3 linked regions of the Tribolium castaneum genome follow. The protein of the gene in region 3 binds, or shares a complex with, the protein of the main gene of each other region. Links are inferred from orthologs where the notes say so. Each region holds a gene or a part of one and is shown on either strand. Other genes may lie near its edges.

Region 1 (3,756 bases), on a different chromosome or scaffold from region 3:
TGTTGCGAATTAAGCGGCGAATTATTCCCCACTAAAACACGCAATTTACCTCAAACACCTCAAAAACTTCTCTTTTACTTTGTCCAAATTGATTAACCCCAGTCCCCGGCATAGAATTCGGGGGTTGTGTCAGCTGTGCAATCAGTGCGCTACTTTGGGTGGTATTAACCTGTTGGTTGGGCGGCAGATACGACCTGGGCTGCGTTGGGGGCAACATAGCTGGCCATCTGGGCCGGTTCGCTTGGTGGTAGCCCGGCGGTGCGGGCAATTGCGGGATGTTCATGGGGTTGTTGCCCATCATGGCCCCTCGGGCGTTCACCATACCTACCATGCCTGGTGTAACATTTTGTGAGTGTTGGGGGGTTATACCTTGAGCGCTGGGCGGCCGATAGACGGGCGATGGGCCCACTCCTGAGGGAACCCCGGAGTTGGCGGACGAGGATGACGAGATGGGGCTGTCATTGCTGGCTAAGGGGCTGGGGAGAGAGGTTATAGGAATGGTAGTGTTAGAAATTTGGGTTTGGGCGGAAGTGGCGGTACCGGCAGGGGGGCTCAGGGGGCGCTCCTTCAGGCTGAAGCCGCGCAGGAGGACCAAGTGACGGGGGTCCTTGGCGTAGTTTTTCGTCTGGGAAGCGCTCAAATCACCGCCGGCTTTCTCGAACAGTTTATACAACGAGGGGATTTTGCGCGGCGAGATAATCGACAAATTGATATTTTTCTGAAAGTTAATTATGCAAATTTGGTGGAAGACACTTGGTTAATTACTTCTTGCAAAATAGCTGCTAGTTGCTCAGCTGTCTTCCCTGTGTAAGCATGAGTTTCAAAAACCCCTAGAGAATAAGGGGGCGAGTTACACACTAGAATACAATGCTTTTGAATGTTGCCGTTATTGTCACGTTTTTGCTGCAATTCGTCAAAACATTGAAGGGTTGTGGCTAAACCTTCAGCAATGTTTGCATGAGACTCGCCTTTACCTCCTATAAGTCTGAAATAATTTTTACATTAAGTGATCCTTTTCCTAGTTAGAACTTACTCAAGTTTGTCTATGGCATTTAATACCTTACTGGGGCTTACAAAGGGCCCAATTGTGTCGCTACTGGGGTGCGGTAAGCAATCAGCAGCCTGATACACCACAATTCCGTAATAAGAATTAATCCCTTCTGATAGGAAGTTGCTCTCATCAATACTCCCCTGACTAAAATATCTAAAAGTCCCTCAGTTACAAGAACATATTCTCCAATTAAAAACTACTACTACTACTTTTTCGTATCAGGGTGTAATTTTTATCATAACAAAGCAAGGTTACACTGATTTCTCAGTACCTCAAACCTTGTTCAACTATCCGTTCAGAATTCATCACGAGAAAAAACAGAGAAATAAAAGATTGGAAATGTAGATGTAGATACAACAAAAATGATGATATTTGGAAAGAAAAGTAGTATGGGAATTCGGAAAAGAGGATGAATGGCAATGGGAAGGAAAAATATAGAACAAGTGAAAGACTTGAAGTATCTGAATCAGATATGTACTGTATTATTTTAGTCAATCTTCACTATTTCAGTTAGAAGAGAGTAATAAGTAGCAAGATGTCAGACACAGCCCATATAAAAGAAGCAGCAAAAAAAAACAAATGGGGTTTTAGGAAATGTTTGAAGCTTGGGAGAACGTAAATTTAGTGAAAATTTCAAGAGAAAAATAATAGCTTAGGGAAAAGCACTGTAATGTAGGGACTATTTTGAGCAGAAGTGTGGGGATGGAAGAAATACGAGATCGAACAGGCTAAATAAACAAATGCCAGAGTACATAGTAAAAAAAGGAAGAGAAAAAAATTAAGAGTAGATTAAGGAAAGAGAGCGGTGGGATTTGAAGAGAAATTAAGAATTCTGCGTGAATGCAACAGTGTTGAACAGAAATCAAAAAAGCAAATGAAAATGTTAGATGGAAAGGACGAAAAGACTCCTATGAGAAGAAGGAATAAGTGTGTATAGAAATTAAAAGAATAAGAGAAAGGGGACGAACAATGGAAGAGGAACTGAAATTGAGAGATTTGGACATAGATAGGCAGGAAAGAATAACATGGAAAAAAGAATCGAGGTGTAATACGTAAAATATGCCGTGCTTATTGACGGATGAACTCCTCTCATACTTAAGGAAGATGTAAAGTAAAGATAAGAAAATCATAGCCAGATTTAGACGTAGAAATGAAAGCGAGAACGAATATTGGAGAGAAGATTGGGAAACAGTGTGCAGATTAAGCGGAGAGTGTCACAGTTTGTGGAGGTAAGAGTGTGCAAGTTTGATACGAAAAAAAGTTTTAAACGAAAATGGTAAGGGAAAAGAATGGATGAAAAAAGTGACGGGTGCAAAAGAAAATTGGGAAAGGTAAAGAATATCTAGAATATCAAATAACTTCAAGTAGGACTGTAAAGCCAAATAGGCAATAAAAACAATTTAGCAGTAGTAGAGAAAAACATGTAATACATCAGAAGTTACAAAAAAAAGTAAACTTACTCTAACGAAGGGATGATATAATTGGTTTTTAGGTCATTTATATAAGCACCATTCACTGCAGTTCCCTCGATAACAAAAACGATATCGGCGTGTAAGCCATGATCAGCTGGACACACAACCATTGTTTAGTCAAAATATTAAACAATTTTAATGAAACAATTTAATACAAGCACCAAACCCCGCCATATTGAAAATACCTGTCAAATTTTTAGGGATGTTACGTCAAGTTAATGGCAACACTTTCATTCAGATGAAATTTTATTTTAGCCAAATTATGCAAAAATGTTGTCTGGAAAACTAATCAATTGAATAGAATTATTAGTAGATTGCATTTAACCAAAACTACCTGGCTATTTTCGCCAGAAACTAATAAAATTTAATCCCAGACTGGGATTATATTTTTTCCCCTAGTGTCAGGCGTGTTGACGTCTGCCGTGAACAGCTGATTATTTGTCATCAAACACCGCAAACAGTGAATTAATGCGTCTTTACTTTATCTGAAATAGTGTAACACCATGGCATCGGCGCTAACGGACAAAGTCAGAGAAAGGCGAAGTCGGGTAGGTGCCAATGATTTAAAAAATCGTGCTTTAATGCCGAAATTTAGGTCCTCCTTGGTCCCCTCCCGGAGGATTTTCTCCGTATCAGCACCTCGGTTCAGCAACAACAAGAGGCAGCGGATCGCCAAACAGCCATAGCACTGCACCACCAGCTAAGCGGTGGCCAACAGTACACAAATGTCGTTGGGAGGCTCAGTATCACTGTTGCTCAAGCTAAGCTCGCAAAAAATTACGGAATGACCAGAATGGACCCCTACGCTCGGATTCGGGTCGGGCATTGCGTTTACGAGACGCATACGGACCCGAACGGCGGCAAAAACCCGCGATGGAACAAAGTTATTCACTGGTAAACACATCTCAAAAACTAGCAAGTCCCTACTTTTCCATTTCCAGTTTGTTGCCTCAAGGTATTAATACCATAACGTTAGAAATTTTCGACGAACGCTCATTTACGATGGACGAACTCATCGCCTGGACGCAGTTCCAGATCCCCCAACAGGTACTTGCAGGGGAAACCCACGAGGATTGGTACCCATTAAATGGGAAACAGGGTGAAGGTGTCGAAGGAATGATTAATCTCGTGTTAAGTTATCTAGTGTTCCCTTCATATAAATATCAACCACCGGCGCCTGTTATGGTGGTGCCCAACGTAACAGGGGGCAATGTCACACCCTTGAAGGTGTTT
Region 2 (2,793 bases), on a different chromosome or scaffold from region 3:
TCTTTGGTGAAGAGAGATTTTTCACCAATTTTTGGTAACGGTATATCTAGGACTTTATCTCCTAATGTACTCATTGTTACTAAAAATAAATTTTTGAAATAAATAAATAAATTTTGGGAATTTTTTGCGAAACCTCACCAATTTCAAAATCCTTCCCAGGATGAATTTTTTTGAGCAGTGAAATCACATGTCGCGTTTGAATGAGAGCCAGCTGAAAATGTCAAATGAAAAAGAGCCCACAATAACAAACACGTGATAAATACCTCGCTTTTCCGGGATCCAACCCGGATTTTCTCAATCTCACTCATTTTTGTGCTTTTTCTCTCAAGTAAGGAACAATTACCGCAAACGCATGATTATGTTTTCATGCTGTTTTATTGAAAAAAAACTGCTTCATCACCACTATCACATTCTGCCCTACGTAAGTGCTGATAGAGGTGAACAATCAACTTTCCAAATTATGTAATTAGACAAAGACGCATAATAGTCTAATGTGTGGGAGTAAAAGAGAAAGACAATATAACCTCAAAATTGTTTTTATTTAATTTTTTCTTTACAAAAACTTTGAACCTTACAATAAATTAGCTTAAAATTAGGGCCTTAAACCGGGGGCCTTCCTAAATATCGTAAACTGCTCCAAATACTGATGAATTGTATCAATGGGGGTATACAACTCCTGCATCCTGTTTTGCAAATACGGTGGGGGCGTTGCAGGCACCGACGACCCCAAAAACCCCTGCAGAAACTCCCGCATCAACTCCCAACACATCGCAGGCACCACACATGGTCGATACTCTACTTCAACCAGAACCCCCCGAAAGTTCTGACTTACAGTCACTGTTCCCAATTTTACACAAAAATCACCGATTTCGTATCGCGGCCCCTTCGACTCGGCCTTAGTCTGTTTTTTTGATGAGTAAAAACCGGACATTTTCATCATCAGGAGATCAAAAAGGCCGTCAGTTGCGAGAGGAATGGTCTTTTGGCCTGTCTCAAGGATCGAAAAAACAGTCGCCGGCTGCTCGGAATTGTGAAGGACGTGGACTGTACGTTGGTGTCCCAAAGCGGCACAAGAAGTAAACGTTTCGCAATCGACGAGAAACTGGCCCTGTTGCAGGGCCCCCAGGGCGGAAATTCGCTTCGAGAGGAGCTCAATGGTGGAGGGCCCCGTGCGGTTCTCTGTGGGGAACTGTTGTAACACTGTGACCCCCATTTTAAGTGGATTTTTGGGGGCTAAATTGAGGTTATTATAGCTTAATGATCGTCAGTGGTGCCAACTTAGCTAGGTGTCAAAAATGCTACAAGTTCAAAGTCGTTGACCCCTTATCTCTTGAATCATAATGTAAACATATGTTTTATATTTACCGTATTTTTGGATTTGATTTATAACAATAAATTTTTTTGAAAATTGCGTTTTTATTTTGGTAAACCTTAGCTAACGAAAATTCCTAGTGTTCTTACGCGCCAAACTGCAACTTTCAAAGTGGTGGAATAAAATAGCGATTATTAAATAAAACTTTTATTATAAAAGTGTCATTTTTACAAATAAATAATTCAAGGCGAGGCTTTCTCACAACTTGACAGTGGCAACGTTCCTAATTCTTCGTCAGCAAATTCTTCAGCGTGTCTAAAAAAAAAACAAGATCAATGGATGAAAAAAAATTAGTCTAAATTAGCAACTTACTTTTGCTTAATTTTATAAATGTAAAATAGAACCATAAAATTTATCAAAAATAAAGCCGCTATGAGTAAGGCCGGTGCTAAAACATCTGAAAAAAAATTAACAGCAACCTAAACAAATCATAAAATGCGTTACCTGAAACCATTTCGATATTTTTCGATTTTCCGATGTCTTGAACAGTTAGCAGAGGCTTTTGTTGAAGTTTTTCTGAAAAAATGAGTAAATTTAGCCTTGTTCACGAGTCGCCGCTGACTTAATGAATGTGGTCTGAAGCGCAATTCCGCAATTTGATAACAACAAAACTTTTCATAATGATTTTTTTTATAACAATACAATATAACCTCAACTGCTTTGTCTAATTGGACGCTAAAAATACAATTACATGAAAAAAAACTCTAGAAACACTCACTATTTGCCTCGTTAGTGCAAACTCCTACAATTCTTTTTATCGCGAAAAACGCCTCTAGGTAATCCACGTGGTTCCTACACGATTTTCCGTTGACAACTGAGCATCGCGAGAGAGATAAAGCAATACGGGAACGTTTTGTTGAACGGAAACACCAACAAGTCAATAGGCAGAGGCGTAGACTCCATAATATAATTAGATTTTGTTTGGGAGTTTCATCGAATGCGAAATTGTTTTGTAGGGCTTACGTTCAGTTTATCTTTGTTTTATCCAAACTAGCAAACTCGCACAAAGCACGAAATGTGGAGTTTCGGCGTTATCTTTGTTCGCACACAACACTTTATCTCATTAAAAATTAAAAAGCGGGGTCGGAGGTCAATTCCATTTAGCGTCTAATCAAACTTACTAGTACAGTTGGGCAGAGGGAGGTCGACGTCCCACTTGGCCCCCTCGCAGTTGATGATTTTGGTTTTTTGTCCGTCGTCTTCAAAGGCCCGATTGATGCAGCACCTGTATTCTGCAGCTGTTTCGTTCCTATAGACCAGGTAGCCGTCTTCAGGGGCGTCGGGGGTGGGACACCCCACGGCAGTGTAGTGTATAAGCACGCCTCTGAGGGGCACTAGCGAATGGGCCGAGACCAGCACCACCTCCACGAACTCGCTCTCTGACACCACCTCCAGCGGGGGGTCTTGGGGCTTGCACGTGG
Region 3 (3,660 bases):
AATTTTATAGTGAAATTCGACAACGTTAAATTTTCCCCGATTGAAACTTTTAAACGCACAATTCGTGTCTACCAATAAGAATGAAACGATGTGTAATTGTTGCTTGTGCATATTACCTAATTCCCCTAAGTACTTACGCTTTTGCATTTATTTTTTAAAAACGAATAACATTCCTCTCAAGTGACACTATCCGATATCTCTAGCGTTATTTCCCAGATGCCCTACAGTTATTAAAAATCGGTACTAATTTATGAAAGGCGTTGTTTCTTGGTTGTTTTAGTCACAACTTATGTCTTCATTATTTTAAGATTGTTATTAAAGGCATTGTTTATACAGTTATAGGCCATTATGAAAATATTTTTTGTATTATACACTTAGAATATACAATAAAAGTCCTTTACAATTTTCGTTGCAATTTATTCAAACCACCTCCACGAAATAGAGTTTGCTAAATTCTTATAGCACCCACTGGGGCATGACTACTTTAAAAAAAGGTTACTAAATCAGGGGTTTTTAAAGCAGTCGCATGTGGACTTGCTTTACTATTGCAAGGTTTGAAAAGGAACTGAAATAAGACATCCAGTATTTAAACACCAATATCCAATTAAACTCCGCCCAGGTGGGTACTTCTCGTATTTGGATACTTTTATGTTGTCCCTCGTAACGTTGGCAATGTTTCGCGCGCAACCAGTATTGCATCTCCCGAGAATGTACACTCATGAGAATTCTCTACTAATCGCTAACCTTTTATTTTTTTTTCTATCCATCAAACCTAAACTCAGAGCTTACACAATTCGAACAACACTTCGTAATTTACTTTTGTGAGCAATTTTATGAGAATAGAAGATTTCTCGTCAGCGTACATTCACGCGTATGCCCGACAGCTGTCAGGTGTCAAAAATCTGCCAATTCAGTAAAGTTTTAAAAAGATGCTTCATTAGATAAATACCGAAAAATGGACCATATTTTCACCATTAATAAGAAAATAAATAAATCGGTGGACACCAGCAAGCATCTATCATTCACCAAGTACCGCCCAAACGAAAGTTAACCATTTACCAACCGTTTGAATTCCAGACTCGAGAAGTCAACCTTATGCTCGATTTCAAGCTCCAACGTTGTTGCTTTCAGCACGGAATGCAATATCGAAGAAGCGGGTTCCCTCTTTTGGAACTCTAATGTCTACGTCTGCGATTTAAACAGTCCCTGGCAGGTCCACAAGTACGTCCCCAAAAACACTTTCCTGTATTAAACCTCCATTTCCAGAATATTATCAAACTCTTCCCCCATTTCGGTGCTCCAGTGGGACTTTACGGGCGACCTTCTGCTAGTCGCGGACGAAAACGGCTCGATAAAAATTTACAAAGCTAAAGACCACATCCTAAATGACTGGACCCTTGTCCTCCAGACTGTCCTAGAAGGGGAGCACATTCTGTCAGCGGCGTTTTTCCACTCGGGCAAGAAAATCTGCCTCAACTCTGAGAAAAAAGACAGCGCTTTGTACACGGAAAAGTTTCACCATGTCAAGTTTGCCTGCTCTGTTAAACAGTTTGGGGGGCGCCCTGCCAGTGGGGCCCTGCTACTCACAACGACGGGAATGTTGTGCTCGATTTTACTCCCCCAAAGCACGAGCCAGGTCGCAATGGTCATGGCGACAGAAAGCCTGGCCCCTACTAGGATTTTTATCAAAGCTGCTGATATTTGCTATGGCAAAAGTAGGTTTTTTACAAAATCATTTAAACACCAAATAATGTTATTGTGTAGACGGTCATTTTTTGCTCGCTGTGAGTAACGGAGACTTATCAATGCCTATTCAGTGTTATAAAGTCTCTGTCAGGAAAGCTGAAGATAAGTGTGTCATCACAAGCCAGTCTTTACTCAGTTTTTTTCTATTTGAGGCGCCTAAGGAAGCATTAAGTAACAAACTGAGTCATTTAAGCCGTTGTTTAACGTTTGTTTTAGTGGAACAAGTTTCCAAAGAAAAAAATTGCCACATAAGTCATATCAAATGGATAATGAGAGAGGACGCAGATTCGGTGGTTGTTTCAGCCACTAGTGATAAAATAAGCTGTTTGCAAGTGTGGGAATTGAGAGAGAAGGCTTTGCCGGTTCACAAATCACTAGGAAAATCTGAAACTCCCCAGTTTTTTAACACTGTCGTACGTCTATTATCTCATCATGTGATAATCGATACTTACTTATTTTTTAGTTGTGGCAATACCAGTGCCACTTCCAGTATAACAGCAAGGTCACTTCACTAGCTACAAGTAAACTAAGTCTATTAAATAATGTTTCAAGTGGTTATGTCGTGGCCACATTTGCCGACAATTCCATCCATTGCCTCTACAGAGACACTCTAAAACATTTGGTCAGCACCACTTTGACCATTTGTCCGCGTTATTTTGACGAACCTCTCGCCAGATACCCCAAAACTAGCATCAAAATCTCAAACATTGACATGTCCTGGCTCGGCAATATTTTACTCGTGATTGATTCAGACGATAGTCTGCATATGTTTAAGTTACCGCCCCAAATCGACAGCTCAACGCCTCTAAGTGTACCTTACTGTACCACGATTTTAGAGTATTGCATGATGAGCGGTTTTGATTGGTTAGACTTGTTGCTAGTGTTAAGACCTGGAATGTTGGACGCGATATGTGACCGACTCACCGAAAGTTTTAATCGCCAGCCCTCGGCAGTGCAACAGTTTTTCTACGTGCAGTATTTGTGCATGAAAATATCGCTATGCAGGTAGGTTCCTAGTTTACCGACATTGGGTGACAAAATTTTATTATTTAATTATTGTTTTAAATAGAAAGCTTATGATTTTACTGTATTTTTGTATTATGCGAGATATTTTAAGGAGTTTTTACCAGTTTTTTTATAGCAAAGTTAACAGTTTTTGTAATATTTATATTTTTTTGATTTGCACCTTCTTTTTCAAAAATCGAAGTTCCTGTAGAGTATTTCAAAGAAAATGATTAGATTTTTTTCAAATTTTAAATTCCGTAAAGAGTGACAAACTCTAAATTTGAAAGATTACGTTTGAAGAAATTCAACTACTTAAAACACAATTTTGCCAAATTGATTCTTTCTTTACTAAATGAAGAAAAAAACTACCAGTAATTTTGCATCGAGCCAACTATAACCACCATAATATTTTTCAAGTTATTTATAAAGCTTAGGGTTACATTAAAAAAAATGAGATGTTCCCAAACGTAACTTTAAAATGTTTTTTTTAACTTTTTTGAAAACACCAATAAGGGAATAAAGCTTTCTCTTCTAAATGCCCAAATACGATTTCGAAATATTATAAATGACAATGTTGTCGATTTTTGAAAGGGAAGGTGCAAATCTAAACAGTTTTAAAAAAATATAAATACATATCTAGAAAACAAAAGGAAACATAAACACAAAATATTTGAGAAAAATTTGAGTAGCCAAAAAAAAGCAATAAAGAATATAGCTTTTCACTAAAAAAAATGTTTCCAATTTCTGTATAAGCGGAAGTGCCACCACCTTGAAAATATTTTGATACCTGACTAAACAAATTTTTTGATGAATATTGTTATTGGAACCGGAAACACTTTTAATGTGTGCTTTAGGCGCAACACCTCGAATTTTGCGAGTAAAATTCATCTTCCGATATCTGAACAAGCT

What was found.
Region 1: the proteins of MED16 (region 3) and mediator of RNA polymerase II transcription subunit 25 are in contact, whole or in part, in a cryo-EM structure (PDB 7EMF), measured with the Homo sapiens proteins. The link is inferred for Tribolium castaneum from reciprocal best matches to the Homo sapiens genes MED16 and MED25. Residues at the interface, in NP_005472.2 of Homo sapiens: Cys41, Arg42, Ser92, Ser94, His113, Arg161, Lys163, Phe171, Gly172, Gly173, Lys174, Pro195, Gly485, Tyr486, Ala516, Ala517, Gln520, Val521, Thr524, Arg525, Ile554, Ala555, Ser558, Lys561, Ser562, Leu563, Leu564, Arg565, Pro566, His567; in NP_112235.2 of Homo sapiens: Ala26, Asn27, Gly29, Pro30, Tyr31, Val74, Asp75, Cys76, Ala77, Pro78, Glu79, Val82, Cys84, His85, Pro87, Lys102, Phe103, Met104, Gly105, Gly106, Gly107, Gly108, Glu109, Thr120, Gln123, Leu124, Asp127, Phe128, Tyr151, Leu152.
Region 2: MED16 (region 3) and MED20 share a complex: the UniProt entries of both Homo sapiens proteins name them as parts of the mediator complex. The link is inferred for Tribolium castaneum from reciprocal best matches to the Homo sapiens genes MED16 and MED20.

The regions. Positions count from the first base shown.
Region 1 is NC_087402.1:9,090,301-9,094,056, reverse strand, and holds the start of mediator of RNA polymerase II transcription subunit 25, read right to left. Parts: upstream 2,732-3,756; 5' UTR 2,634-2,731; coding exon 2,512-2,633; intron 1,205-2,511; coding exon 1,034-1,204; intron 986-1,033; coding exon 766-985; intron 719-765; coding exon 370-718; intron 325-369; coding exon 79-324; intron 32-78; coding exon 1-31. Other genes in the region: toll-interacting protein, read left to right, coding at 3,027-3,071, 3,119-3,417, 3,465-3,756. UniProt on the Homo sapiens protein: Component of the Mediator complex, a coactivator involved in the regulated transcription of nearly all RNA polymerase II-dependent genes.
Region 2 is NC_087398.1:429,288-432,080, reverse strand, and holds MED20 (mediator of RNA polymerase II transcription subunit 20), read right to left. Parts: upstream 1,350-2,793; 5' UTR 1,214-1,349; coding exon 593-1,213; 3' UTR 521-592; downstream 1-520. Other genes in the region: Hmbs (porphobilinogen deaminase), read right to left, coding at 1-79, 139-211, 264-308; uncharacterized protein LOC103313212, read right to left, coding at 1,555-1,627, 1,685-1,769, 1,817-1,888, 2,494-2,793. UniProt on the Homo sapiens protein: Component of the Mediator complex, a coactivator involved in the regulated transcription of nearly all RNA polymerase II-dependent genes.
Region 3 is NC_087396.1:16,567,325-16,570,984, reverse strand, and holds the start of MED16 (mediator of RNA polymerase II transcription subunit 16), read left to right. Parts: upstream 1-838; 5' UTR 839-955; coding exon 956-1,029; intron 1,030-1,077; coding exon 1,078-1,221; intron 1,222-1,266; coding exon 1,267-1,715; intron 1,716-1,764; coding exon 1,765-1,917; intron 1,918-1,962; coding exon 1,963-2,159; intron 2,160-2,209; coding exon 2,210-2,751; intron 2,752-3,660. UniProt on the Homo sapiens protein: Component of the Mediator complex, a coactivator involved in the regulated transcription of nearly all RNA polymerase II-dependent genes.